Caenorhabditis elegans: one gene and its partners. The protein of the gene in region 1 interacts with the protein of each later gene in a pairwise test. Each region holds a gene or a part of one and is shown in the gene's direction. Other genes may lie near its edges.

Region 1 (8,613 bases):
CAACACATTCATAGCTGAAAGGTGAGCACTAAAGTTTTGAAGCTTGGTTTCAATAATAAAAATTATACGCGCAATTCAAATTTCAAAATTTGAGTCGTAATTATATAACTCTCACAATATATTATAAAAAAAACTCTGAACGGGGTAAAAGAAAAGTGGTTCAATCAAATGAATTGGTTGAAATAAACATGTTTTTCTCCTAGTGCCTAATTCCAAAAGATCCAACCTCCCAGTCCCATTTTTATGGGCAATTGGAAAGAGAAAGAGCACACGTTTCTTGAATTGAATTACAAATATATACGAACCAACAGAAAAAGAGAGAGGTGGATGGATAGAAATGAGCAAACTGATGTTGACAATAGCTTCTGTGAAAGGTGTTGAAGGGGAGAAAATAGTTGTAAAATTGTGAAAAGAAATGTGAAAAATGAAGCAGGAAAGCAATTTGAGAAAATTGCAACGAGGTACCTGGGAAAGAAAATTGTTTAGAAAAACAAGGAGCTATTCGTTTTGGAGACTGAAAAATCAAAGAGCGACTTGGTAGGTAAACTAAAATATTTAGTTTACCTACCAAGTCGCTCTTTGATTTTGAAATATTTAGTTTACCGCAGAGAAAATTATTCTACATACATCTATTTTTGCATCACTTGCGTTTAAGTCTACAAATGGAATTTGAAATTTGTAAAATCCTTGAGGAAATATGGCACTTTCAAGGAAAATGAAAATCGGAACGTTTTAATTTTTCAAAAAAAAATCCAATTGAGCAGAATATATAATTATTGAAAATATTGATAATCCAGTTCTTGATCTCTAGCAGCTGCATAAGACCTTCTTTTATCAGTTTCCTCGTAGCTTCTTCGGAGTTCCCATTGAGTTCCAGAATCTATTGTTGAACTGCTAATTGTTTGAATTTGTGAGTCTTTCTTTGTTGGCTTCTTTTCTGGTTCAATATTTGAAGATTTCTTTTTTCTTCCAACGAATATCCAAGAAACACAACAACAGCAACATACAAGTAAGAGAAGAACAAGAAGAATTACTCCGATTATTCTGAAAAAAGTTTAGTTTTCAAGATGTTCCTGTTTAAGATGTTCCAAATTAAGAAATCCAAAATTTCATCCCCTTATAGGGATGTTCTGAGAGATGTCTCATTCTACTACAGATGCTCAAATGAAAACTTAAATTTCTTCTGTGGATTTATATGACTTAGATGTGGATCTAGTTAGAGCTACTTTACAAAAAGCTTACATGGGTTCTTGTCTAAATCTCCAACAACAGTTTTCCAAGAACTCTCCACAACATTCATAATATGTGAAGAAAGAAGCAGTTGGACACCTCCTAAACGAGAAAAACGGAATTATTTGCCAATTATAATATTCTCCAACTTACATTGGAGCAGGTCGTGGTGAGTTAAAATACCACGGTCGGCGGCAAATGACGTCATTGTATGATTGAGATTTAACTGAAACAATTCTTTGACAAGGTATTTTAATAAAATTCATCATATTTTCCAATAAACTTGAAGCTAGGTGAGAAATATGGCTTGTAGCACCGAGATCGTGTCGAGACCCACTCAGAAATCCAGCGTGCGCCTTTCAAAATTAAATGGAAATCTCTAAAAAATGTTTATAGGTGAATTTCATCATACTATAGCGCCTTTTGAACTTTGAACTTTTAAAATTGTCGAAACTCACCATTTGAGATCAGAGTTAGATTTAAAATCAAAACGAATAATTTAAAGAGAAAGTGCATACTTATCGATAAAGCAGTATAACACAACTTTTCTGTCGACAAAGCTTGGAAGTTGTAGTGTCCAGAAAGCAAACATACACATATTCTCGCATAAGTTTCCTCGGCCTGTTGCGCACGTCTGACTCATATTTATTCATTCTAAACATCGCCCGAATTTCTGAAATTCTAAGAAGTACAGTAACCCGAATGGTCTCAAGGTAACCTATCTCCCCTTGAAATTAATTCAAGTTTGAATGAGAATTTTGCATGTTTCAAATTTTTCGTGACTCTCAATAACTACTGATTCTTGAAGTCTACATTACAGGCTATTAAATTAGAAATCGTAGGCCCGATTTTTATCAAAGTACCGTACCGTGTGAGTTTCAAGGGAGGCACGTTTTTGGGAAATGGTCTTGCGACGACATGGCAAGAATTGTTATTTTTTAAAGCGCCTTTTTCTGTTTTTGATTTTTCCCAATAAGTTTTTTATTTTATTCATAAAATATATCTTTTACATCTGAAAAAGCAAGTTTCTGAATGACAATGAATTTCTGTCGAAATTCAAATTCACAGCCGCACAGTTTTCGCGCCTAATTTGTCTGCGTCTCTTTACCGCGCACACTGTTTCGTCTACAACACTCCAGTGTTTCGGTACGCAGGTTGCCGCCAAAATTGAGTTTTGAATTTTAGGTGTCTTATTTCTCGTCGTTTTCCCGCATTCTCATTGTTTTCCTCTTCAGATTGCACCGACTTCCTGAATTTCTAGTTCTCTTTCTTACTTTTTCGATTAAGAAAGTTGCCTTAATTCTTTTTAAATCAATTCTTTCAGCATGGACAACATTATCGGCGGTCAAGCCCAGCAAGTGGAGGACACCGACGGAACTCGTGTGCAGAACGAGTTTTCCAAGTTTTTGAAGAGCTTCAAAGACCAGAAAAATGAGTTTATCTACAAATCTGCGATGAAGGAGCTCGTGCAACCAGAAAAGAATACCATTTTCATTAACATGCAACATCTCTACAAGTTCAGTAACAATCTCGCAACAACTATCGAGCTGCAATACTACAGGTAAATTAAATTCGATTAGTATTTTCGAATACTTATAAATATACTTCAGGGTCTATCCATTCATGTGCGAAGCTCTACACTTGGCCACTTTAGATGCTTGTGATGAAAGTGAGAGACAGCAAATGTTCAAGAAGCAATTGTACGTTTCGCTGTTCAATCTCGATGCGAAAACGAAAGTTCGTGAGCTTTCTGCGGACAAAGTCGGAGGCCTCGTGCGCATTGCCGGTCAGATTGTCCGAACTCACCCAGTGCATCCAGAACTTTCACGGGCTTGTTTCGTGTGTGAGGATTGCGGTGTTACCACACGTGATGTTCAACAGCAGTTCAGATACACTCAGGTATGCGGAGATAATAATTAGCTTATAACGAATTCAAATGTTTTCAGCCAACTAAATGTGCTAATCCTCAATGCATGAATCGTACCAGATTCAGTCTCGATGTCAACTCATCTACTTTCGTCGACTTCCAGAAGATTAGAATTCAGGAGACTCAAGCAGAGTTGCCTCGTGGATCAATTCCACGTACTGTCGATGTGATTGTTCGAGGAGAAATGGTTGAAACTGTCCAACCAGGAGATAAATGTGACATTGTTGGAACTCTTATCGTCATTCCAGATATTGCTCAATTGAGCACTCCTGGACTTCGTGCTGAGACTTCAAATCAGAACAGAGGTAAACAATTTTATTCGAAACTCATTTCTTAGTGGAAGTAGTTGTCGCAGATACCTTGATTGTCTTCTTTTTCGCTGGTTTCATACAGAAAACTCTTTCTCGAACAAAATCCATATAGATTTTTCTGGTAACAGGGGTAAAAATGAAGTATACTAGAAATACATGGCATGGCACCTGAGCTAGTCGAAAATAAGTGAATGCGAGCTTTCCGTCAAGCGAAAGATTTCCAAAGAGTTCCTGAAAACTTGCATAGTAAACGCTATTTCGTTGAATTTATACCGGAACAACTCGTAGAACAAGACTTGTTAGCTCATATACAGAAAGATAGAAAGCAGTGATAAAAGCTTGAATCATAAGCATTCGTTCAGTCTTCTTTTTCGCTTTTAAAACATCCGAAGGCATTGATGTAAACTGATCTCCATTCCCACGTCGGAACATATTTTTGATCTTTGTATATGTTGGTGATCTTTGAAGTTTGAAGTTTATAATAACTAGCACATTGAAAAAGAATGCTACGAACGGAAAGAATACAGAGTAATAATTGGAGAACGTTGTGATCTACAAATTAAATTATTAATTTTTGTAACACAGATATCATCCGTAGATCTACTTTACCTGATGCCTGTCTGGTGCACATTCAGATATGAATCCAACTTTTCGTATATCATAATTTATCCGACACTCACTCAGATAGGGAATAATAAGACATGCGAAATTGGCAGTCTGAAGAATAAATGTATCATTTGAAATCTTAGCATTTCAAGATACCATATGAAATGAAGTATAGAGCCATATTTTGCTAGAAGTGAAAAGCTGAGATGCCTGCATACTCACAACTACTGCTATTCGATTAATAGTCATCAGAATAAGTGTGAGCATTGGATGAAGATAATTGAACGTTACACCCACCGAAATCATAGCTCCTATTGAATCCCGATATGCTGAAAATATAGATTAGAAAATATATCCTTCCTCATGTGTCCGGACAGTTATTACTTTTATATGTTTTATCGGACATGTAATAGGGGAGTATGTAGACCATTATTCCGAATATGACTAGAAGTGCGTTAGAAATTGCCATGTTATAGATGTATGTGGCTGGTAGAGCATCTGAAATGAGATTTTTAAAAAAATAAAATCCCGAATTTTTCGTAACTGTTTTTAGAAGTTTTTATTGCCAGTGATAAAGTAATACAGTAGAATAAATTGAACACCGAACATGTCTCGTAAACCCATAGAGCAATACGCTTAACAACGGCAGCATCCACATCCATTTGTAGAAAAAAGAAACACACCAGCAGGTTGAATAATGTAGGAACCAATGGTTGGGTAGTATTCTTTTGGAAGATGTGATTATATGGACTCCTCGTTTCTCGATAATGTGGTGATTTTGATTTTATTAGCATCTAGTATTCGAACAATTATGGTCACGTGGAACGAGGAAGTAGAATTGATTTTCAGTGACTAGTGATTCCTATGGTTTCATAAATTTAAATATATATTTTAAGAAAAAAAACTAGCGAGACTCAACAATAATCTGATTTTTTACAGGCAGAGCGACCGATAAAAGCGAAGGAATCACTGGATTGAAAGCTCTTGGAGTCCGTGATCTTACCTATAAAATGGCATTCTTGGCTTGTCATATTCAACAAACCGAGAGTCTTGTTGGTGGAGATGCTTCGGGAGCTGTTGAGGAGACTGATTATCTTGATTTATGGTCGAAAATGTCAACAGAAGATCGTGCAACACTGAAGAAAATGAGTGACGATAAGAAAATCGAGAAGAACATTGTCGATTCACTTTTCCCGAACATTTATGGAAACCACGAAGTTAAGCTTGGAGTTCTTCTGATGCTTCTTGGAGGTGTCGCGAAGAAGAGCAGGGACGAAGGAACTTCACTGAGAGGTGATATCAACGTTTGTCTTGTTGGAGATCCATCAACTGCCAAGTCGCAAGTTCTGAAAGCTGTGGAAGAGTTCAGTCCAAGAGCTATTTACACTTCTGGAAAAGCATCTTCAGCTGCTGGTCTGACTGCTGCTGTTGTAAAAGACGAGGAATCGTTCGAGTTTGTCATTGAAGCTGGAGCTCTCATGCTTGCCGACAATGGAGTTTGTTGTATTGATGAGTTCGACAAAATGGACCTCAAGGATCAGGTTGCCATTCACGAGGCAATGGAACAACAAACCATTTCCATCACCAAAGCTGGAGTCAAAGCAACATTGAATGCCCGTGCATCAATTCTTGCCGCTGCAAATCCAGTTAATGGACGTTATGATAGAAGTCGTCCGTTGAAGTATAATGTCCAGATGTCAGCTCCGATTATGTCACGTTTCGATCTTTTCTTTGTGTTGGTCGATGAGTGCAATGAAGTTACTGATTACGCTATTGCCCGTCGGATCCTTGATAATCATCGTGCGATCAGTGAGCATACTGAACGTGACAGTGTTTACAAAATTGATGATATCAAGAAGTATATCGCGTTTGCTCGTTGCTTCAAGCCGAAGATTTCGGATAAAGCTGCTGAAACTCTTGTTCGAGAGTACAAGAAACTTCGTATGTCTGACAGCAACAATGCAGCCACGTCATCATGGAGAATCACTGTTCGTCAATTGGAGTCTCTCGTTCGTCTGTCTGAGGCTCTTGCTCGTCTTCACTGTGGAAAGGAAGTACTGGTGGAACATGTCGAAAAGGCTGCCGAACTTCTCAACAAGTCTATCGTCAGAGTTGAGCAACCAGACATTGCTTTGGATGATGACGACTTTGACAACAATATCATGGTTGTTGAAGCAGACAAAGAGAATCAAAGAGGAGATGATAGTATGGATCATGATGGAGAGAAGGAAAATGCTCCGAAGATTGATATAGCAAAGCTCAAAATCTCATTCAAGGAATACAAGCAATTGTCTGATGTTCTCGTTTTACATATGCGATCCGATGAAGACAATCAAGGAGAAGACGAGTATGATGGTGTCAAGCAGAGTGCACTTGTTGAATGGTTTGTTTAAATATTCAAATATTTAAATTTAAATTTCTGGTTTTTAGGTACTTGTCGACAATCGAAGCAGATTTGGAGACGGAGGAAGACTTCAACGTACAAAAGACTATTTGCGAGCGTGTAATTCATCGTCTCATTCACCAGGATCACGTTCTTCTTGAAGTTGAGCAAGGAGAAGATCCAACTCTCTGTGTTCATCCGAACTATGTTATTGCCGACGAATAATTGAAATAATTGCTTCCCGTGTGTATTGATCTCTTATCCAGGCTCTTTTACCGTTTATCATTATTTTTATCATCATCATCAACTCACTAATTTGCAATTAACTTGAGTATGACTATCACCGGAACTTTTGTGAATGAATTTTCATCAATATTTCCAAACTATTGCTATGTGTTCAAAGTGAAAAATGTATGGGCTGCGGCCTAGTTTCATTGACGGCCATGTACTTCTCGTGGACAACTTTCGCAAACCGAATCTTTTAGTTATCCAGATGTAAAATATTGGGATTTCTGTGCCAAAAACACGGTACCTAGTCTCGAAACGATAAATGTTTGTTAAATGAAAACGGATGTGCGCCTTTAAAGAGTACTGTAATTTACAGATTCATATTTTTTTGTTTTTTTTCTCCCGTTTTTCGATAATTCATGTTTTTAATGTTATTCTTGAGCTTGCTAATGAATAATCTTATTTTTATTTTAAAAAAACGATGAAAATCCCTTTAATTTAAAATTACAGTATTCTATAATGGTGCACATCATTTTTTCCTCAAACCTTTTTCGTGCGGAGACCGGCTACCGTATTTTTAGCTCAGAAATCAAATAATAAATATTTCAGCGTAATGTCTGAATCAGACGGAGCCTTCAAATCACCAAGTTTACCTCCATCTCATCATGCTCCGGCTCCAATGTCGCCTGAAAAAATTCGAGCTCCCGCTGAACAGATGGACGGTCCAGTTGAAGGAGTTATTGATGAAATTGAGGTTTGAAAAATATTTATTGATTATATATATATTGAAATAATCATTTTTCTTTCAGACTGCGGAAGTTCAAGCTGAAAAAGAATCGAAAATTTCAGTGCAAGCACCAGCTCTACACTATGAAGTGCCTCCTTGGGCTTGTGAACCGGATCCAGCTCATAAATTTCAGTTTGAGGTACATATTACCCAGACGCGAAATTTTGCACAAAAAATTCGGTACCCGGTCTCGACACGAAAATTTTTTGTTAAATGTAACAACGTCTGCTCCTTTAAAGTACTGTAGTTTTTTTTTCGATATGAATTAAATTAATTTATTAAAAAACCTGAATATGCAAATATATTACATTTCAATTTTGACAAATCGAGAGAAAAACTATGAAAATTCGGTGAAAATTAAGCAGCAATGAAAATTTGAAATTACAGTACTCTTTAAAGGCGCACATATTCTCGCATTTAACAAAAATTGTAGTGTTAGGACCAGAAACCGTAATTTTAATGCTAATTTTCTCAATTTTTCTGTTGATACAAAATAAAATAAAAACAATTTTTTCAGATTCTGAAAGAAGGAAAATTAATTGCTTCGTATGATTTGTCAAATCGAAAGAATTCAACGTTCGTAGTTATCGGAAGAATCAAGCCAGGATGTGATCTTTTAATGGAACATCCATCAATTTCAAGATATCACTGTATTTTACAATATGGAAATGATAAAATGTCAAAAACTGGAAAAGGATGGCATATTTTTGAATTGGGAAGTACCCATGGAAGCCGTATGAATAAAAAACGATTACCACCGAAACAATACATCAGAACCAGAGTTGGATTCATTTTTCAGTTTGGAGAAAGTACTCGAATATTGAATTTTGTTGGGCCTGAAGAGGATTCAGAGCCGGAATGGGATTGTTCACCAACTGAAATGAAGTTAAGAAAACACAAAAAAGAATTGGAAGCAAAATTGAGAGCCGCTGCAGCACAAGAAATGATTGACGATGAAAAACGTGAAAAAGAAGAAGAAGGATGTGGATGGGGAATGGATTATGGAGAAGATGAGAAACCATTGACTACTGTTGAAACTGATGCACATTTGATGGAGGATCGAGAAGCTTATTATAATCAGGATCCAAAAAAGGCGTTGCAGAAGTTTTTTGAACGGGAAGGATTTGATATGAATTTTGAA
Region 2 (6,755 bases), 690 kb from region 1:
ATCTCCCGTTTTTGTTGCTCAAAACTCCGCCCATTAATTCACAAATTTGTTTTTTCCAGAAACTTTTTCAGCCACCATTCATTCGAAGCGACTCTTGTGTTCTGTTTTTCTTTTTCGATTTAATTTTCTTGGCACATTTGCATACGTTTTTCACTTCTTCCGTGCATTTATTTGACGATTTGAAGTTTTTAAAGCAACATTTCTAGATTTTCAGACGCTTCCCGTTTCCTTTTAAATTCGTATGTGTTCCCGCGCGAAGTTTCAAAAATGATTGAATTTCTTTGACACATGAGAGGACAAATCGTTCGTTCACCTCCTCTTTAGATCTCCAGTTGCCCGTACCGCCTGGCACTGCACGTTTATCTATTTTCCTTTGAAAGTAAATTTCTGAGCTTCAAAATTTGAATTTCTCGGATATTTTCCTAGATCGACTTCGATTATTCAGATATTATTATTATTATTTGCAGAAAAGTTTATTCTCCTCGAAGAATGCTATCCGATTTGAAAATTAAAGTGTTTTTCGCACGCTGAATAGGTTCACTTCGATCATTTCAGAAAAGGTCCTCTCATTAGCCATCGAGTCTCATCGGCGTCGTTCCTTTTATGTATCATATCAGAGAGGGCAAACATTCATTCTTTCTTTCCCTTTCTCGCACCTCAACTCACTAGGTACAAGTATAATAATTCAAAAAAAAAACTTTTCGCGCCTTACTATATACTTACTTGCCGAAAAAAAACTGAAAAAGAACAAATTTCCAGAGGCTTGGATTACCGAATTACACACCTGGAATCACTCCGGCCAGTGGAGCGCACTTGCACACCCCCGCTTTTCTCAAACTACAGCGCGCTGCAGCGGCTCTCCTTCTTCACCAAGAATGGTGTGAAAATCTGTGTTCAGTTGGCGCAGTGGGTAGTGCGCTCCGTTTGGTAGAAACACTATTTGGTTCGATTCTATGTAGGGTGTTTCTTTTTTTTTTTTGTTAAAGTTTCACTTTTCTTTTTTTTTTTCCGGATAAAACTTATTTTTTGACAACTTTTAGCCCCTCAAAAAGCTCTGATAAAAGGCTTAGACGTCAGGTCCCAAAATTGAAAAAAAAAGTTCCAAAATTTTTATTAATTTTTTTGTTTCTTTCTTTGTGAAGTTTTTTTTTGTAAATTCGATGAAAATCGAACGTTCCTTATGAAGGCACCCTTAAAGAATACAAGCTGGAGTAAAACCAGTGAGAAAAGCGGGGGTGTGCAAGTGCGCTCCGCTGGCCGGAGTGATTCCAGGTGTGCGATTCCGTTAGCGTCCAGAGGCTTAGAATCTAAAGCAATTGTGCCACATTCTCCAAATTTATAGTAATTTTTATCATCGTCTTGCTCGACCCGCTCCACACTGATAACAATCTCTTCATTTTATTTTTTCCTTCTTCTTCCCGCCGGCGCGTAAATGTTTACAAATGGTGCAAACTCTCTGGGAAACTATCGATGGCGCCTAGAATACCACTAATTAGTCAAGTGGCGCGCAACCTTGGCAAAATCGTCAATGCCAATTTCTACAGGGTAAGCGTGACGAAGCAAGGCGATTTCGATGTCTAATCTCAGGTTAATATCTCAACCGTTATTTTCTCCAACTTTCCACCCTTTTTGATGTTGTGAACGTCGAGATTCCTGACTCTATGACATTCTTTTGAAGTTCCGTATTTTTGGAATATTTTTAAAAAATTAAGCTCGCGAATTCACAAAACTTTCTCAAGGTTATAGAACATTAAAACCCTAGTGAGAGACATATTACTGCTAGATGAGTTTCAATGTTTACCTTGTTTGCAGGTCCCACGCGGATTCTAAAGTCTAATGTGTGCCGATGTGTCATAAAAAACAATAAGAGCAGAGCACCAACAAGCCATGTTTGGCTCCATACGTTTCTTCCATTTTTCTATCGATCAGTTCAGTAGGACCGCTTAAGAGCCTATATACATCTCGTCATATTACCAAAGGCCGGGTTGCGTAATGGATTGCGTTGAACGTTTCCCCCCCCATCGAGGGAGGTCACCATTGCTTTCCACACACCAACACCACACTTTACCTACTAGTTCATATAACTTTTGATATTGATCCAACAAACATTGAAGCAAATTTTGCATTATTTCTCTCTGTCATTCACATTGCTCGGAGCCAGTAATAAGAGAGAGCAACAGGTGGTCTTTCTCCAAAATGAAGATCGCCGAACAGATATTACATATTGCCTGCTCGATCTAATCCTTATATGTATGCCGTTACACGTTATTCAAGACAATTTACCAATCTAAATGTTGTCCCATCTGGAACAAAGAGCATGCCATCTGAAGCATTAGATGGGAAACTGCTAGCAACAGTGACCCCTCCTCTCTCTATCTCTCTTCACCGTCTGTCCTGCCTTGAATGGTCCCTTGCATAACCGTACGCATTGAGCACCTTTCCGCAACATATCGATTAGTCTCTCTTTCTCTAATTGGTTTTCTTTCTCCAGTCATACCATTTTTCATTATTTGAAACTTAATTTCAGTTAAGGAATTAAAAAAAAAATCATTAGATTTATTCTATTTTGTTATTTACCTTTTCCCTTGCCTCATTCTTCGCTGTCACGTGTTTATTCCTTCGCCTGTTTCCTTGATTTTGAAATTAAATCTCTTTTTTACAGATTCCGACACAGCGCACGCGCCTAGGGACCAATTATCAAGCGCTTTTGAGAGCAGCAGATCGCGACGAGTATGCGGTCGGCACTTAGTTTGAAGGTAAGTATTTTCTGAAATTGTAAAAAATATATTTACAATGCGACTGTCAAATTAGTTACATTTATTTATTCGCGATCTTTTTTCAAATTTTCCGCATTTTTCGAGCTCAACTTTACCGAGCTGGTGGAAACAATTTTTTCCGATTTCTGATAAAAATTGGTAAGTGGTGAGTGCGTGAGACGCTGGTTTTTTAACAGTCAAAATGAATTCGATTCCTTTAAAATTATGTTTTTTATATATAATTAATAATTAAACCTATATTTCAGCCGAGCAACGGAAACGCGGCGAAAAGTCAAGCAGTGAACAACAAGAACGTGATCAAAAATGCACCATTGGGAGGAAAATTGACACGTCAAATTGGAACCAGTAATTTGCTTCAACAAGCTCTACCAAGCAAGAAAATAGATGAATCACCAATTATCAAAATAGATGCAAAAGACAGTTTTAAAGTATTTGAGGATCAGGAGCCAGAGAAAGAGAATTCTTCTGAAAATGTTGATGCAACGGAGAAAGATTCTAACGTAATACCTGCTGAGGATAACAATATGATACACGAATTGGAACGAAAGATGGAAGAAAAGGTTAGATTTGAACTCAAAATTGTAATTGTTTATATACAATTTTTTGCAGAGTCGTGCAGAAAAACTGAAGTTCAAGTTCATGCAGACTCGAGACAATAGTGATATCACCTCAAGATTCTCAGAACCACCTTCAGAATTCTCTGTTTTATGTGATGACGACGATTGTGATGTGAGACCAAGAAAATAATATCAGAAAATTGAACTTTTCTTTCAGAAAGTCTCCGTCGCCTCTTCAACCTTCACCACAAGCGTCCGTGCAACCTTCTCATCATTCCATTTTGATGAAAATCAGCGCAAAAAGGAATTTGGAAAAGAAGAAGCTGTGAAGAAGATTCAAAAGAAAGCAGCGAAGGAAGCTCGTGATGATTCAATGTTCAGTTCTGAAGAATTTTTCCCTGACATTATCAAGTACATGTTACACCGTCAAACGAAGAATCGAGCTTCACACGAATGCTTTGACATACAATCACAAGTTAATGAAGAGATGCGAACAATTCTCATCGATTGGTTCAGCGATGTCGTGAAAGAGTACAATTTCCAAAAGGAAACATTTCATCTCGCTGTGAGCCTCGTTGATCGGGCTCTTTCAATGTTCAACATTGATAAAATGCGATTTCAATTGGTTGGAACGACGTCGATGATGATCGCAGTGTATGTTTTTAAATAAAATATTTCAATTGAATGTGAATCTCAAATTTCAGGAAATACGAGGAAATCTTTCCGCCAGAGATTGAAGACTTTGCTCTCATCACTGACAACACCTACCGAGTTCCCGACATTCTTTTAATGGAGCGATTCTTGCTCGGAAAGTTTGACTTCGTTGTTGCAATGCCCACATCATCTTGGTTCGGAACATGTTTTGCCAAGAGAATGAACTTTACAAAGTGAGTTTTAATATCATCATTTTTAGCTCCTGTGAAAAAAATTAGCGATCTTTCTCAATTTTAAACGTTATTTTATTACAGAAAGATGCGGAATACTGTTCATTATCTCCTCGAGTTGTCGCTGATAGATGTCCATTTTCTACGTTACCGCCCATCCGATATTGCAGCTGCGGCTTGCTGCTTTGCAAATCTCCAGGCTGACGTTGAATCCTGGCCACAAAAAATGGTTGACGACACGGGAATCAGTACGGAAGATTTTGTGGACGTGCTGAGGGATCTTCACAGGATGTACCTGAATGCATCAACGGCAGATTTCAAGTCAATATTCTACAATTACTCGGAGACTGCACAAATGGAAGTGGCCCTGTTACCGGCACCTACTGACAAGCTTCGATCGATGTTCCCATCGATCTTTGTCACCGCTCCAAAATCTTCCAACGATAGTAGTAGTCCCCAGTAAATAATCCATGTTATATTCTTGAATTCTCCAAATTTCCCGACTTTCAATTTCATTCCCTGTCTTTGTTTGCCTTTATCGATTACATCTTCTAAAATTCTCCTTTTAAAACTACGATTTTATGTAACAATTCTTTGTATTTGTATAACTCATCCCGACAGGAATCGGAACATACACGGATATGATCCGATATTAAAAATTCCTTTTTTGTGTTATATGTAATAGTATTATCAGTGCTCTCCATCCACCCCCTTATCTGGCTGTTTTACAGCTTTTTCTCCAGTTTTCTTATTTATTTATGATACTCCTGGCTTGGCAACTATGATCTATGATTCCTTTTTGTTCCGAGCCGTAATTTACGCACTGCGCTCATTGTTTTATATTTGTTCCACGATCTCATCTCGTAGTTGCTCTCCCCATCGTTCTTTCGTTTCTCTTTTTCAAAATGTAAATCTAAAAATTTTTATAATCATGATATCAACTGAAATTTTATATTATTTATTGTGCTTTCCAAATGTTAGAAGATACCTTCTTTGTCAAATAAATCTTTTAAATAAAAAAAAACAAATAGTTTAACCGTGATAGTTCCCGTAGTTGGCGTATTCTGGAATTGGAAAATCATTCAATGAATCTGAAAATTGAAACTTACGAGAAACAAAAGCGTCTGCCATTTCTGGATCAAGCTCCTCGATATATGTAGAACAAGACATGTACCAGATTCTGAAAAAAACACTTAATCGAATTAATTAAATTTTTGATAAGTATACGGTAGCTTGTCTCGACTCGACAATTTAAAAAGTAAATTGCAAAAAATAGCGTGCGCCTTTAATAAATACAGTAATTCCCAAGTTATTGCTGCATCCCAATTTTTAGGATTTCATTTACACTAAAATTTTAAATGCAAAGTGTTAAATGAAAAATAGAGACTACTGTATTTTTTAAAGGCACAGCACATTACCCAAACGCGAAATTTTGTGATACACGACAACTTTTGTTAAATGCAAAAAGGAGCGCGTCTTTAAAGGGTACTGTAATCGCAAAACTGTGTATTTGCGAATTTTCCATCGAATTTTCAGAGTATTCTCATAAATTGTTTAAAATTATGAGCTTTTATTGTTATATTTAAGTTTTTGAATCAGAAAACATATTGTTATCGGAAAACTATGAAAAATGAACTTACAGTACCATTCAAAGGTGCAAATCTTTTTAAATAAAACAAAAATGTCGTGTTACCGTATTCTTGCGTCTCAAAAATGTTCAAATTAGTTTTCAAAGATATCCCCGTCATTTTTAAATTGTCCTTTCCCTCTAGAAACCAAACAGTTTCGAGGCCAATGATAACGCTATTCGATAAGAAAAAGAAAAAAGACTTTGAAAGATTGGGGTGCGTCTTTTGCGATTTCTTTCGTTTTCTCTTCCCAATCTTTCAAAGTCATAAGATGATAATGATAGAGATGGGTTTAAAGAAAAATTGGAAAAGATGTTATACCTGCAAAAGTATTTGAATCTCTCTTCAATTCGTGGCGGTTTACACCATTTTTGCATCCGATGGTATTCGTATTCACACTGGAAAATCATGTATTAATATTTAATAGCTGGCTTGATTTGATTTTGGGTCCCGGCACGGTTGAAACTTTTCAGATACCGTAAACAGTGGTTTTCAGTCTTTTTTTCTCGATTACCATAAATGTTTTGTTGTACAATGACCGTATTAGAGGTTACGGTTGCTGAGAAGTTTCACTCGTTTCAGGACCTGCGCCCATTCACAATTATTATATCTAGCGTACTTCAACTGTCATACGAATTTGATCAGTTTTGAACTGTGTACGTAATAAATAAGCGATTTTAAAACAACAATGATTGATGACACGATTTCTGACCGTGTGACAATCGAAGCATTGTGTAGTTTGTATATACACTCACCTTACACTGACGAGTACAGTGCGGATGAACTGAAACATTGCAGTTTGGACGACATGGAACTATCTTTTCAAGCTGAAAATGTTTGAAATCGGATAAATAATCGCTGTTCAGTTTTTAATGGCCCAGTTTCCTTCTACTGCACGAGAAAGTATTT
Region 3 (6,362 bases), on another chromosome or scaffold:
CGAGGCTACCAATTTGTCGAAGGTGTCGATGATGCCGAATCTGAATGTGGACTTGACGACTACAAATTCAACTTAGTTATCAAAAATCAAAGCGGAACAGATTTATCTCAACAACTAAATATGGTTACTGAAAAGATTTCCCGAATCATTGATAAATTGTAAGAAAATCTTTCAATTATTGAACAATAACGATAAAAAACAACTGAATAGAAAGCTACCTATCAACAAGGAATAAAAATTCTCAATCGTGATTTGGTGGAATGTGAACATTTTTTGTGAGGTCATCAAATGCCAATTTGTCAAGATATGCATTTCGATCAAGGGAAATGAGAAGCGGCCGCTTGCCCACAAAAGCTGTTGCCAGAGGGATCCATACTTTCTTCATTTCGGGAGCTACGGCTGCATCGACAACTTCAGAAGCTGAGAATCTCAATGCTTGTTTTTGCATTAAGAAATTGTAATGAACAGTTGTGAACACCTGTTAAAATGTTTTTGAAATGGATTAGAAAATGGTCATGCACTACCTTTTTGTCATTATTGTAAAATATGTCGATGGGAAATCGTTTTGCAAGAAAATGAAGTAGTAGCGGAGTGAAAGATAGCAGGACGAGGAAGGTGTTGGCCACTGAAAATAATGAAATTTGAAATAATCCGTTCTTCAATAGAGATAATTCTTACCAATTGCAAACATCATCATCGAAGGTCTTTCAGCAGCTGCTTCCCACAAATAGGAGGATAGCACGGGAACCATGACTACTCCGGCAAGAGATGAAGACAGTGACAGAATCTGAATTTTTGATTAAGACAAAAGAACATGCTCCGTTGAACGAACTTTAGCTCCTTTCACACCCATCGCGACTACATCATGAGGAGTTTTTTGTGATCCGGGAGGTAATGTTCCCTTGTGGATTAGAATGGAGTGTCCCAAGTCATCTTTATCAATCTTTGACAATGGTAGAACTTCGACGTTGCCTGAAACTCAGATGGAAACAATAATTTGAAATTTGAAATAAATCGCTTACACTTTGACGTTGTTCCAAGACTTCTTACACATTTTTGAAAGTTCGATGAGCTGATTCTAATCGGGCGGAGCAATGCATATAATGAAGACATAATTTATTGATACTACCAAGAAGCTAAGTGTTGAAATTTATTAAAAGCAGGTTCAGCGCAGGAAGATTTCACTCAAGATTAAGTTGTCCAAGAGGAGTACACGGACCAGAGTTCGTTCAAACATTTCTAGGCCGCGACACAAGTGCGCTCTACTGCTTCACTGTTACAACGAAAAATCTCTTCATTTGCCACATCATTTCAATAAATTTTTGATTATACTCTCAATATGTCGAATGGATTTTGGATGGATGATGGACAACAACAACAGGGTATTTTTATTTAAAGTATAATGTTTATAGTTTTATAATTTTCAGGAGGATGGAACACTCAAACAAATCAACAAGACATGGGTTGGGGTCAATTTGATTACTCGCAGCCACAACAGCCACCGCAGCGTGAGATTTATTTGTAATTAAACAAATTTCTTGAATATCATTTCACCTTCAGAAGCTGGAAACGACTACTATCAACAAAATCAACAATATCAACAACCACAAACCAATTATTATGGAGGACAAATGTTCATGCCAAACAACGGGACGGGAGGTACATATATATTTATATCAATTCTTCATTCTGAAATGCATTTTTAATTCTACAATTTTCAGCAATTCCAAACGCCGGTGTTGCTGCTGATGGCGAAGACTATGAAAATGAGCCACCACTCTTGGAAGAACTCGGAATTAACTTCTCACATATCAAGGAGAAAACTATTGCTGTTTTAAATCCAACTGGATCTGCAACTGTCGAAGTTATTGCTGATCAAGATCTTGCTGGACCTCTCGTCTTCTGTCTTCTTTTTGGAGCCGCTCTTCTTCTTCACGGCAAACTCTCGTTTGGATTTATCTATGGAGTTGGCGGACTTGGATGCGTTGGAATTTATGCCCTCATGAATCTCATGGCAACGGACGAGAAAAATATTTCCTTCACCTGCACCGCATCAGTTCTTGGATATTGTCTACTTCCAATGGCTCTTCTGAGCATTGTTACAGCTGTATTATCATTCAAGGGCATTATCGGGTATATTATATCGTCGCTTGCTGTCCTTTGGTGTTCTTCTGCTTCATCAAAATTGTTTGTAATCGCTTTGTCAATGGATCACCAACGTCTTCTCGTTGCATATCCGTGTGTTCTTCTCTACTCTGTTTTCGCCCTTCTTGCCATTTTCTAACGTCGTGTCTTCTTGTGAATAGTTTAAATACTTGAGTAATTTATTATCATTATTTATGAGTATAGTGCCTCAATTAATTCATTATCATAAACTATTTTTTGTCATTGATCCTGATCTTGATTTACAAACTTAATGTTAAAACTCGTTTGCATACTTTTTGGTTTCGTATATCTGGAAATACTGAAATTGTTTCAGATGGATCTTAAAATTGAAAAAAAGGAGGAAGCGGAAACGTGGCTCATCAAACCACTTCCAGGTTATGTGTGTAAATGGAAGGATGTAAAAATCAATGGAATTGTAAACGATGAATACCGAAAGTGTTTTGTAAATGTATGCCATTGCGAGCAATTACCGCCACCAATCGACGATTTTGATCAAGTAGGTATTTTGAAATTATTTCCGTAATATCAACTATTTTTAAAGGATGAAATTGCTGCTCAATTAGATGCTGGAAATCCGTCATTTCGAATTCCGATGAGTGTTGGCGAAATTGACTGCGTGAAAGATCATAGTGATGAAAATTCGATCAAGGTAGTTTAATTATAAATGTTTGATTGTTAGTATGAAATGTTTTTAGATTGATGTTTTGGTAAACAGCACATTCTATAAAAAACGACTAGCGTCTCCAAATGACGCATTCTTCCGTCATCTCCTTTGTCTAATTTTCTGCGATCTTGTGAAGGATAGAGTCAGTTGAAATTTTATCAATTGAAATAACATAATTCTTAAATTCAGCACTCCATTGACTTAGACCCATTGAAACCAATCGTTCTTCGCAATCGTGTTTCAGTTGGAGAACTTGAAGTACAAAAAATTCACAAAAAACCAGAAAAACAGATTGTCGAAGAAATGTATCAGGAAGATAAAGTTAGAATGGAGAAAGAAGAAAAAAAGCAAGTTGGAAATGATGATGTTGCTGAAATGAAAAATGAGGTTAGTTATTTTTGTTGCAACAATAATTTTAACTTTAAAATGTCTCCTTTAGATGTTTGGCCTGAAACACATTGATGGAACAAGAATACGACTTTTTGATGGTGACAGACTCGAAATCAGTATGCGATGTGAACTTAATGGCGAACCAATCAAAGATCCTAGAAGGTGGGTACATTATTTTAAATTCAGTTGAAATATAAACAATCAAAATGCGAGTTGAGTTTTCAAAAAGTGTGAACACATAATTAAAATCATCGATTTTTCTTTCAATTTCAAATGTTGACTATGGCCAGTGGGGAAATGATTGAAATCCATCCCTATTATGCTAAAATGTCGAAATTTCATAATAAATTAAAAAAAAACATTTTGACAAATTTTTATTTTTTTATTTTATTTTAAAAAAAAATCTAAATTACTGTCGGATGTTTGAACCCTATAATGTAATAATATGAATATTTTGAACATAATTAAAACATAAAATTGGAAGACAAATTGTTTAATCGACTTTCAGAAAATTCGTGAAAATTGAGTTTTTGACTCGAAATAAACATATTTCCAAAATTTTTCCAACAGTTATATTTATTTCGCAGTTTTAGCACCGCAGGAATGGTGTTTAATCATTTCCCCACAGGCCGTAACATTAAAAAAAATGTATCGTAATTTAATTTCTACCCGATGATAAATAATTTTCCAAAATCGTCTAGAATTTCTCAAGATTCTCAAAAACACAGACTTCATTATTATCTATATTAGTTTTACGTGCAAGACTTATTATTGATAAGTTTGTAGGTGTGAAAAACTGTATAAAAGTTTTTAATCCATAAGAGGCTACAAAGCTAATTTCCAATTTGTACGTAAAGAAGCAGAAGCAAAAAATACCTGATTTTGAAAAACCTAAAATTGATAACTTGAAAGCTTTTTTTAAAAGCTTAATATTTTTCAGACTAGAACTCCAACTCAACCCCACTCGATGCTTGGTAACGTTGGATAAAAGTCGCAGCCTTTATGATTTCGGACTCCCATTTCACATCAATCCGTCCACAGCCAAATCCAAATTCAACCACGAAAAATTCACACTAGTGGTTTCAGCAAACATTCTGTTGTGATACTGTAATCTCGCGTTTCTTCTAGATCTCTATTGTTGAATGCCGTTGTTTTTCTACTTGTTGATTTTGTTCCCAGTTTTGGAATTTTTCAGATTTGTTTTACTGATTAAAATTTAAAAAAAAATCTATATTATTGCTTTTGAAAATCGCCGAATAGATATAATCAACTAAAATAAGATCCAGAGCGTTTCGATCCTAAAAAACATCACATGCATATTGCGACTTTTTGAAGTTCAAACAACGAAACAGTCAATAAAATATCCTATGAAAACAAAAATTAACCATTTTTGATGTTTTTTGCCCGTGCAGAATCCTATTTCGAAGTAAATTATTTTCAAAGTAAGAAAGCGGACTAATTCACAACTCAATAAATGCAAAGTTATTTCTATTTTTCTGAAGGTTTCTAAACAAGAAAAAGCTTATTTTAACGTATTTCTTCTCTAATTCTCCATTTTCGTCTTCATCACGTAGAAACCAACACTATTTTCAATGTTTCTCATCCTGCGTCTTCCATCTCGATGTTTCATGTCAATGTTTCATTGAACTTATTGGTTTGCCCGTTTTCTGTGTTACATCAGAGTCCAGTTCTTCAACTACGATCAACCCATCACGTATGACATAGAGGAAGATAAGATGGTTTTTAGCCGAATTCTATCACTTTTAACCTCTTGTTCATTTGTATTTTCTTTCATTTCTTTCATTTTCATTCACATTATTTAGAAAATGCGGCGAGTCTTCAGTTCTCAAGCAATTCAAACGGCAATTGAGAAATCTTTGCCAGATCTTCAAAAAATTGTTGGAAACTCTTCTGTTCGGACACAAGAATCTGTAAGAAGGCAATTTGCACGAGATGAAAGTCATTTTATGTGAGTTTTGAACGGAACAATTAGATTATTGGCCAACTCCTTACAACTTCAACAATTGACTACTTTCAAAAGTTTAAAGGTGTCGCAATTTAACATTTTTCTGAAACGCCTACTGTAAAATTTCTATTCTGAACAATTTTTCTTTATATTTTTAGTTGGCATTTTTTTTAAATAAAGGAATGAGCGATTCCCGAAATTTTTTAATGCAGTGAGACCCATCTTAAAAAATCGGTGCCTTAGTACGCGCAACAAAAATTTTGTGATTAAAAAAAAACTTTAAAAATTAGATAACAACAGTTGTTTACATTACTTTTGGAAGGATTCTCATTATTTTCCACCAAAAACATGATACCTCTTACTAGCACGAATATCCTATCTCAACTTGCAAAGACTATAAATCATTTCGGAAATTTTTTTTATTTATTTAGTTACTACTTATTGAGCTTATCCAGATAATCTTGGTCTATATTTTTATCACCAAAAATCACATATTGAAGATCAACATTTTTTTCCAAATTGAATATTGAACTACAAAAATAGCTACAGAACACTTTTGAATAGTGCCCGGCATTATAATATTTTAAAAATAGACTGTGCAACTGATTGTCCAATAATATACTCTAGGAAATAACACTTCATTTCGATGATACAAAATTTCAGTGCACCACCACCAGCAGTTGTCCTGGAGCCTACAAATGTTGAACAAGTCTCCGAAATTCTAAAACTATGCAATGACAGAGCAATTCCAGTGGTTCCATTTGGTACTGGAACTGGACTTGAGGGTGGATCTATGTCAACTTTAGGTGGAATTTGCATAAGTACTCAACAGATAATTGGTGATCCAGTGCTCCGTGAGCAAGATTTTGTATGTTCTGTTAAACCATCAACTACAAGAATTGCTCTTAATGATGCAATTAAAAATTCTGGATTATTCTTCCCAGTTGGTTAGTTCACTGATTTTTGATTTCCAACCATTTTCTCCTAACTTCAGATCCTGGAGCAGATGCTTCTGTTTGTGGAATGGTAGCAACTAGTGCAAGTGGAACCAATGCAATTCGATATGGGACAATGAAAGAAAATGTGGTGAATTTGGAAGTGGTACTGGCAGATGGTACAATCATAGATACAAAAGGAAAAGGAAGATGTCCAAGAAAGTCATCTGCTGGTTTCAAT
Region 4 (7,981 bases), on another chromosome or scaffold:
TTAGTTTTTCAAATTTTCAAATTTCGACACTTAAACCTGTTCTCCCAAATTTTATGTGATTCACCATTTCTCTCGATCATGTTTATTATTCCGTGAAATTACCACCTCCATGATGATATTTTCTTTCCAAATTTACCAATGATTAAAAATTTACTGATTTTATGTAATTTGTGCACAGATCTGGTTTTTGAATCTTTTTGATTTTCATTTCCACCCGATTTCTTCCCTTGCAGCTCCGATTTGCTTTAATTTCTTAATTTTCCGTCTTCGATTCCTTACTTTTGTCTATCAACCTTTCCAATTATGATAACTTCGCCCCGTTTCTATTTTGTTGCAATATTTTACACAGTTTGATTAATTATACAAGTTCATTCAAACAATTTTCGTGCACGAAACTGATTGTTTTTTTGTTTTGATCTTTTTCAATTTCCACTTGATTCTTGTCTCATCCCAATTGCTCCGGCTGGCTCAAAACTCTGACCTCTTCATGTATGTTTTTTTTTCAACGTTACCCGTAAATCATTTCATTTATGATATCTTCATCCCGTTCATACTTTGCATGTAATGTGTTGCTCAAAACTTACAGTGTTCTTGTACTAAACTGACATTTTATGTATTCTCTGATTTTCATTCCCATTCAATTTTTTCTCAACGTGGCTTCCCCGATTTTGTATTTGTGCATGTTTGATTTAAACTTATTGTTCTTCCATAAAAACATTGATTCGATATATTCAGATTTATGGATTTCAGGTAGGGGTGGCAAGAGTGCGACCTAGGTCGCTAGGTCGCTGTTTTCATTTAGGTCGCATCGCGACCTAGGTCGCATTGCGACCTGCGACCTAGCGACCTAGGTCGCTTTGCGACCTGCGACCTAGCGACCTAGGTCGCATTGCGACCTGCGACCTAGCGACCTAGGTCGCTTTGCGACCTGCGACCTAGCGACCTAGGTCGCTTTGCGACCTGCGAGCTAGCGACCTGGGTCGCATTGCGACCTGCGACCTAGCGACCTAGGTCGCTTTGCGACCTGCGACCTAGCGACCTAGGTCGCTTTGCGACCTGCGACCTAGCGACCTGGGTCGCTTTGCGACCTGAAGTACTGACATTTTGTGCCCTTTCGGTTTTGATTCACTTGAGTTGTTAAAATCTGTATAACTCGAAAACTACATAAGATTGCAGAATATGTATACTAACAAATTGCTACAAATCATTTATTTTACATTGTTTTCGATTTCTTATCCATAAGACACCTTGTCGAAAAAAGTTAGAACAGCCGACATAGGCCGGATTTGCTGCTGACTAAAATTGTTTCAACTTGAAAACTATGGTACTTATGGGTTTCAATGATTTGTAGCAATTTGTTAGTATACATATTCTGCAATCTTTAGTTTTCGAGTTATACGGATTTTAACAACTCAAGTGAAGCAAAACCGAAAGAGAACAAAATGTCGGTAATTCAGGTCGCAATGCGACCTAGGTCGCTAGGTCGCAGGTCGCTAGGTCGCAGGTCGCTAGGTCGCAGGTCGCAATGCGACCTAGGTCGCGACGCGACCTAACCCTCTAGGTCGCAGGTCGACCTAGGTCGACCTATAGCCACCCCTAATTTCAGGAATTTGAGAGTTTCAAGGTAAACAAGAAAAAACAAAAGGAACAATTGAAAAATCGACATCCAAAGTTTTTGAGACTTTTATTTTGAACAACTTCAGGAAGCTATCTAATTTTTTATTGCGAAATACAAATTTACCGTATTTTTCCAACTTGTCTCATAGCTCTATCGCTTCACTTTATCAGTTAGTACTTTTGTCATTTTTGGTTTTACCAAAGTTGCAGCATATGAAATACTTTTTTTTAAAAATGTTTCTCCACAGTTTTTCCGTTTTACCGGCTTACTTTTTTGGCAACAAATTGTTTTGTTTTCAAAACATTGGCTTTCGTCCTCGGATTTTTGTAAGACTACGTAATAACACTAATTCAAATTCTTTTATGTTTCCCAAAAAGCAGGCAACTTGATTTGAGAAAATTATGGTTATAAATTGCAATGTTGTGCTCTGACAAATGTATTCATATATTTATGCATTTATTTCCTTGGCCTTTTTTGTCAAATGAAAATATTTTCAAATCAAGATAAATCAAGAATAAAGGCTGAATGTACACACTGTTGATTTTCATACATATTTTCTACTATACTTTTTTTTAGATCCCCAAGTAACTATGACCTTGTGGTTAAGACTTTTTGAGAACTCTTTTTTTACGAACAATAACCATCTCACTAACGAGATATGTAATTTGATTTACCACCTTTCGGATACGCGCGTTCACCATTCCAGTAATGTAAACATATTCATTGATTGGTGCATCCGCTTTCGTTACTGTGAGCCCCTCTCCTCTCAGGCCTCCTTCCTTCAACTGTTGCTGCGCCCATGCCCATAACACTTTCTCTCTATCTCTCTCCCACTCTATCTCTAGCACACTAACTGATCAACATAAACCATGTCGCTCATCTTTATTTTGTCTTTTTTTTTTACTTTAATTGTGATTCAGGACAAATTAACAGACATTTCTCGCTACTAGTTTTTGTATGGAAGTAACTTATATCGGCTGTTCGAACGGAGCAAAGAAATTCATTCAAAACTGCATTTACTCGGTTTAAGTGACTCTGTTATTGCCGCTGGTATGATTCCACTTCTGTTTCTGTACGAAATCATCCCTTTAAAAATTAATTTATGTTTCTGTAAACATTCTGGCAAGAATAATTTTTTTCAGAAAACTTCATCGTCAATTTTTTTTGTTGGAAACAATCAACATGCCCAAGCGGTTAGTTTTCATAAATTTTTTATCCTAGGTGATTTCAACGTTGCAAACATTTTGAAAATTAAAAAAAACTAATGCAACGAATAATTGTTGCTTTTAATATGCTTTTGTTCTCAGACAGGAAACTCGGCTATTTTCTAAGCTATTGAATCTAGTTAAATAAGAAATATTTGAAACGGAGTTTTAACTGTATGTAAGTTGGCATAGTTTTAGTTTATAAAATTTAAAAGTTTAATAAGTCTTTACTACTCTAAAAAAGGGAATATTTGAAAATAAATTCAGAAATTGTTTTCCAGTAACTGATGGTTTGAGGAAACTCGTTTCTTTTTTAACATTCAAAATGGACCACGCCAGTATATGGGTTTTTATGTATGGGTTTTTGGGACCAACTCAATACACATATTATCTTAATTTCATTCAAAATAATTTTTCGGGGAGGGGCTCCATTTGTTTTTTAAATGTTTGGTGTCACAACCAACATTGAAAAAAAGTAGTTCCCATTTTACATTTTCAATTTTTTTAAAAGTATCCAACATATATACATCTTACATTTGAAATATAATTGTTTTGAATGCAACATTAAATAAAAGTTATTTTCAGAAATAAAAACGACGAACACGATGAGCTAGCAAAAAGGAGAAAATCAAACAACTGGCTCTACGAGCTTGATGAACTATTTGAGATCGAAAATATCCAGAAAAAGAATGCCGAATACATGTAAGTCCTTAGGTTAAAAAATGAAAAAAGCGCTTCATACTGATTTCTTTAAAAGTGGACTACGGCTTGTGGGGATATGATTAAAAGTTATTTAAATCGAGCTAAAATGATCAAAGATCACGAAAGCATTTTCAAAAAAAAATTGGTATTATTTCAAGTAAAAAAACGGAGAAATCTCAGTTTGCACTATTTTTTAGAAGTCGTCAATCAAAAAATGTGTTTTCTTCCAGTTTCACGTTCTAGGTAGTTTTGAAACATTCATACTTCAATATTGTCTGCGACACTGCTTTAAAGTTTTCGACACACTCAGTTTCCACTACTTGTCGGTTCGAAATAAAAAAGTTTCGAATTTGTTTTGAAAAGTTTTATTACAGTCATTAAATTATTTTGGCATTGTATTCGTTTGTAATACTGTTCATTTATATATTATAATTGCAATTTCAGGTTGTTCAAATCGTCACCCCAGAAAAAAAAGAACGTGGACTCCAAGTAAGTGTTTATTACATATATCAAATTTTTTCTTAACAGAAGTAATGTTTGAATTAATTAAACATATCAAAATTTTTAAAAGTTTAATTTTCTAAATTTTTAGAGTCGTGCTCAAACCAGACGTCAACCAACGTGATGTCTTTTTGGAAACTGGAAACAGGTGAGTAGAATTTTTTTTTTTTTTTTGGGTTAAAAAAATTTTTATTTGAATTATACTAAATCCTAAACCGAAACTAAATCCGTTTGTCATATTATCCAATTTATATATTTGCAGTTACAATTCGTTCAAATCGTCAGTCCAGAAGCAAAAGAACCCGGTCTCCAAGTAAGCGTTTATTACCGTATATTCTCTATACGTGCTGCGATGCAGCACTAAATTCCAGAAACTTTTTGAATGCAGCACTATTATAGACTTCAGTACTACTGGAGGCTGCAGCACTAATTTTCGCACCCCTTTGTCAATTGGAGATCGCTAGCTTTTAGTCACAAAATCTCATATTTTAAACACAAATTCATAAGGAGTGTGAATTTGTGTAGCAAAAATAAATGATACTTCAATTATGTTTATAAATTAAAAGTAATCAAAAACAAAATAAACAAAAACATTACCCAAAATTTCGAAACTGTTGAGATGACTCTCGCAATAAAAAAGGGGTGCAGCACTAACTTTCTGAAGGCCTGTTGGGGTAAACATTTAGAAAATTTAGAGCGCGTGAAATAATTTTATTATCAAGGTTTTATTCTAATTTTACAACATTTTAGGGTGATACTCCAACCAGACATCAGTCAACTCAGTGATTCTTCAGATGCGGAGGACAGGTAATACGAATCGGTTTTAAGTTTCACGTTTACAAATAGTACTGGAACGAATAAAAAATTTTATTTTCAAATACGACAACGAACATTTTTGATTTAAACATGAAAAGAACGAAAAAGACAAAAAAGTCAATTTTTAGCTGTAAATATGGAATCGAAATCTGGGAAAACGAGGAAAACTGCCAATTGCCAGTGTAAGTCGAAAAGTTTAATACAATTTTAAAAATTAAATTTCAATATTCTTTCAACAGAAACGCGAACTTTTGAATTTGGCTTCTTCGGGTTATGCTTAAATTTTTTAATTCTTCAAAATGAAAATAAAATTCAAAAAAATTTCACGATCTTATTCGAATTTAATTACTTTTTTTTTGAAATTAAGACAATTTTTCCCATAATTTCCTTAGAATTAGCCGTTTTCAAATTAGGACTAGCGGTAGCAAAGTGCTAATGAAGAATATACATACATACTTTTCCAGAGTCGAAATTAAGGAAAAATTTTTAAAATGTTAAAATTGAAGTTATCAAGCCTACTTAGAATGATTTTCTTCTGATAAATCACATTTTTGCCTATTATTGTTTTTAGTGTTAAAAAGGTTTTAATTGCAGCAAACAAACACTTCCTGAACAGCCGGAAGAGTTTCACATTGGCCGTATCAAAGCCAATCTGAAATTTCTCATGCAACAATTGAAATATCTCTCAGGTTGTGAAAATGGTAGGTTTGAATTTGATAAATACATTTTCTGTTTATAAATATTTCACACATTGCCCTGTTTTTAATAGTCACTTTAATTTTTACAGGGGAACAACACGCTAACGAAATTTTCAAAAGCCTGCCCGCCCAAGTGTGGGACCGAGCATCTCTCAAGCGAGCAGAAATTGCTGAGGATCTTTTGATCGCTGAAGAATTTATCGAGGCTCGGCGTGGTCAGCTTGAGCAGGATGATAAACTCAAAGTTTATTTATACAATGTTTTGGAAAATAAACTGAAGAAGGAAAATAATCCAGTCCTTCTCACTATTGTTCTTCATTTGGAGAATAAATTTCGGCAGTTGAATGCCGCGGATTTTGCCGCTCTAGAGGCTGCGATGAAGGCTGAACTGTGTTTCTAGATTCCAAATCGGTTTTGACATTCCCGATTATCCTATTTAAATTTTTAGAATTTAAAATTGTTGTTGTTTGTTGATACTATCCTCATTACTATGTAATATTGTTGATACTTTTAATCTCTTTTTTCCCGTCATTAAATCTCTTATTCTCTTGCTCAGATGTTCTCTTTTCCCGAAAAACATCCTTTCCCTTCTACCGTTTCCATTGTTTTCTTCTTCCCTGGCCGCAATTTCATTATTCAGATCTATTGTTTTCTGAACGGACCAATTTATCTCATACTTGATTCACGACCTCAATTGAACCATCGGAGTTTGTTCACGTTCCGTTTGATTAAAATCGTCCAACTCCAATTTCAAGCTCAAATATGGTTTCTTCCCTTTTCGGTCCGCTTAATTTCTTTCTCATTTTATTTGTTCAAGTTGGCTCCGAACGTTTCAATTTTCTTTCATTTTTTCTTACTGTTGTCCTTTAACATTTACAAGTATAATATCTTCACTCTTTTTCACATTTTTTATATTCTATCTCCCAAATCATAACTGTTGTTTTCTAATAAACAGAAACAACTATTACTTTATATATTCAGATTTATTGATTTCATAAACTTCAGATCTGCAGCTGCAAATTACAAACAAGACAAAAGGAGAAGGGACAGGACTACACGGCAACCTTGCTACTACTTTCGTATTCATTATTCCAGAGGGTTTCACAGTGTTATGGTTTGATATTGGGGGTTTTACTACACATGACTAATTTGAAAATGTCTCAAGAAAAAAGAAGCACGGATAAGGAGTAAAAATTGCAGTGGGAAAATTATGATTATGATTAAGACAAATGGATGGAACATTTAAAAGTAAAAAAATCAGGGATAGATCGTTATGTAAGCAGGGTTTTCAGGTTATGCCATTTGGTCAGGGAAATGGGAGTTTCAAGAACGGAAGACAGACAGCTTGTAAACTTTAAACAAAAATAGTGAATTGGCATGTTAAGAGAACTCCTAACGGTACTGGAGGCATTCTAGTTGTAATGAATGTTTGAATTCCAGTTTTGCATTACCACTAGAATGAGTTCGAAATATGGAAATTTGATTACTTTAGAAAAAAGTTTAGCACTTAGAAATTAATCTCAAGTTTCAAACACTACGGCTAATGAACGTAAAAATTTGTTCTAATGATATTTGGTTAAGAGATCAAAGATTTTATGGCAACTGGGTGGTATCATGGACGAGAAGATCTGGCTTCATGGACTCCTTGAAGCATTCAAAGTAATATTTGTTGATAATCACTACCAATCGTTCATTTGGTTTAGTGGTTGGCAAGCTTACCAAATCAGCTTCAAAGACGTTGATTGGAATCATTCCACTGAAAACGTCACTATTAGATGAAAAATGTACTGGAAAATTTACTTCTTGCGGACATATGCCATCTCGTCGTCATATGCGGTGTACTTCAAGCCACTGAGCACTTCCTTCATCTTCCAGTTTCCGTGCCGACATCCCACTGATGCGAAGTAGTTGTCCGGAATATCATCAGCAAGACGCGCCTAGAAATCAAATTACAGTTATTTCGTTTCACTTAAAAGAGGACTAATGGTTCTGGGAGTTTTTTTGTTGCTTGTGTCTAATTTGATCTAGAATCATTAACATTTTGAAAGAAGAAGATTTTCGTTCAATTAGTTGTATTTCTATACAAAATAAATGTTGATCGGATAGTTCTTTTTTCTATAAACACTAAAAAGCAAAGAACCGAAAAGCTTGGAAAACTGTGCTCCAGGCCGTAGGCAAAGAACGGATCGACTAAGTATCCTAAGTAAAAAAGTATTTGGTATTATTCATGAGAATTTTTTAATTAATTAAATCAATCATCTTTCTCAAAATTATAACACTGACAAGCGATATCATGAAGATTATAGAAAATAAGTTGCATTGCTGATTGTGTCTAACTAATCAAGTTGCTCTATGAATTCCCGCATTACCTTAATGAATCTATTGATTCCTTGATCAGTGATTATATTAGAAGTGATCTCAAAATTTGTGGCAGTGATGGA

What was found.
Region 2: the proteins of mcm-6 (region 1) and cya-1 interact in a two-hybrid assay, tested with the Caenorhabditis elegans proteins (one large-scale study listed by BioGRID).
Region 3: the proteins of mcm-6 (region 1) and F32D8.4 interact in a two-hybrid assay, tested with the Caenorhabditis elegans proteins (one large-scale study listed by BioGRID).
Region 4: the proteins of mcm-6 (region 1) and T24D5.3 interact in a two-hybrid assay, tested with the Caenorhabditis elegans proteins (one large-scale study listed by BioGRID).

What each region holds. Positions count from the first base shown.
Region 1 is NC_003281.10:9,791,813-9,800,425, forward strand, and holds mcm-6 (DNA replication licensing factor mcm-6), read left to right. Parts: upstream 1-2,554; 5' UTR 2,555-2,555; coding exon 2,556-2,791; intron 2,792-2,840; coding exon 2,841-3,129; intron 3,130-3,176; coding exon 3,177-3,462; exon of another isoform or gene 3,463-3,483; coding exon of another isoform or gene 3,484-3,699; intron 3,700-3,741; coding exon of another isoform or gene 3,742-4,020; intron 4,021-4,077; coding exon of another isoform or gene 4,078-4,185; intron 4,186-4,230; coding exon of another isoform or gene 4,231-4,403; intron 4,404-4,458; coding exon of another isoform or gene 4,459-4,572; intron 4,573-4,618; coding exon of another isoform or gene 4,619-4,736; intron 4,737-5,011; exon of another isoform or gene 5,012-5,013; coding exon 5,014-6,457; intron 6,458-6,504; coding exon 6,505-6,682; 3' UTR 6,683-6,831; downstream 6,832-8,613. Other genes in the region: R10E11.9 (uncharacterized protein), read right to left, coding at 774-1,044, 1,243-1,332, 1,384-1,456, 1,689-1,746; srxa-10 (Serpentine receptor class XA 10), read right to left, coding at 3,484-3,699, 3,742-4,020, 4,078-4,185, 4,231-4,403, 4,459-4,572, 4,619-4,736; ZK632.2 (uncharacterized protein), read left to right, coding at 7,299-7,439, 7,495-7,611, 7,990-8,613.
Region 2 is NC_003281.10:9,105,180-9,111,934, reverse strand, and holds cya-1 (G2/mitotic-specific cyclin-A1), read left to right. Parts: upstream 1-2,662; 5' UTR 2,663-2,732; coding exon 2,733-2,756; intron 2,757-3,022; coding exon 3,023-3,337; intron 3,338-3,386; coding exon 3,387-3,506; intron 3,507-3,551; coding exon 3,552-3,988; intron 3,989-4,038; coding exon 4,039-4,221; intron 4,222-4,302; coding exon 4,303-4,681; 3' UTR 4,682-5,236; downstream 5,237-6,755. Other genes in the region: dos-1 (Delta and osm-11 homolog protein 1), read right to left, coding at 5,251-5,282, 5,328-5,398, 6,168-6,244, 6,602-6,673. UniProt on the Caenorhabditis elegans protein: Involved in the control of the cell cycle after S phase. May bind to and activate cdk-1 and/or cdk-2 to promote cell cycle progression. Necessary for embryogenesis.
Region 3 is NC_003283.11:10,889,678-10,896,039, reverse strand, and holds F32D8.4 (PIH1 N-terminal domain-containing protein), read left to right. Parts: upstream 1-2,479; coding exon 2,480-2,662; intron 2,663-2,707; coding exon 2,708-2,815; intron 2,816-2,861; coding exon 2,862-2,972; intron 2,973-3,019; coding exon 3,020-3,217; intron 3,218-3,269; coding exon 3,270-3,382; intron 3,383-4,160; coding exon 4,161-4,323; 3' UTR 4,324-4,443; downstream 4,444-6,362. Other genes in the region: F32D8.13 (Phosphomevalonate kinase), read left to right, coding at 1-158, 211-235; F32D8.5 (Transmembrane protein 70 homolog, mitochondrial), read right to left, coding at 242-478, 525-625, 679-787, 833-978, 1,023-1,113; F32D8.14 (Protein YIPF), read left to right, coding at 1,340-1,382, 1,428-1,508, 1,561-1,659, 1,722-2,284; F32D8.12 (D-lactate dehydrogenase (cytochrome)), read left to right, coding at 5,047-5,189, 5,850-6,133, 6,181-6,362.
Region 4 is NC_003284.9:12,577,274-12,585,254, forward strand, and holds T24D5.3 (RXT2_N domain-containing protein), read left to right. Parts: upstream 1-2,800; coding exon 2,801-2,811; intron 2,812-3,408; coding exon 3,409-3,525; intron 3,526-3,969; coding exon 3,970-4,014; intron 4,015-4,117; coding exon 4,118-4,174; intron 4,175-4,288; coding exon 4,289-4,339; intron 4,340-4,776; coding exon 4,777-4,833; intron 4,834-4,970; coding exon 4,971-5,024; intron 5,025-5,436; coding exon 5,437-5,543; intron 5,544-5,629; coding exon 5,630-5,940; 3' UTR 5,941-6,491; downstream 6,492-7,981. Other genes in the region: T24D5.2 (DUF38 domain-containing protein), read right to left, coding at 7,134-7,296, 7,341-7,477, 7,910-7,981.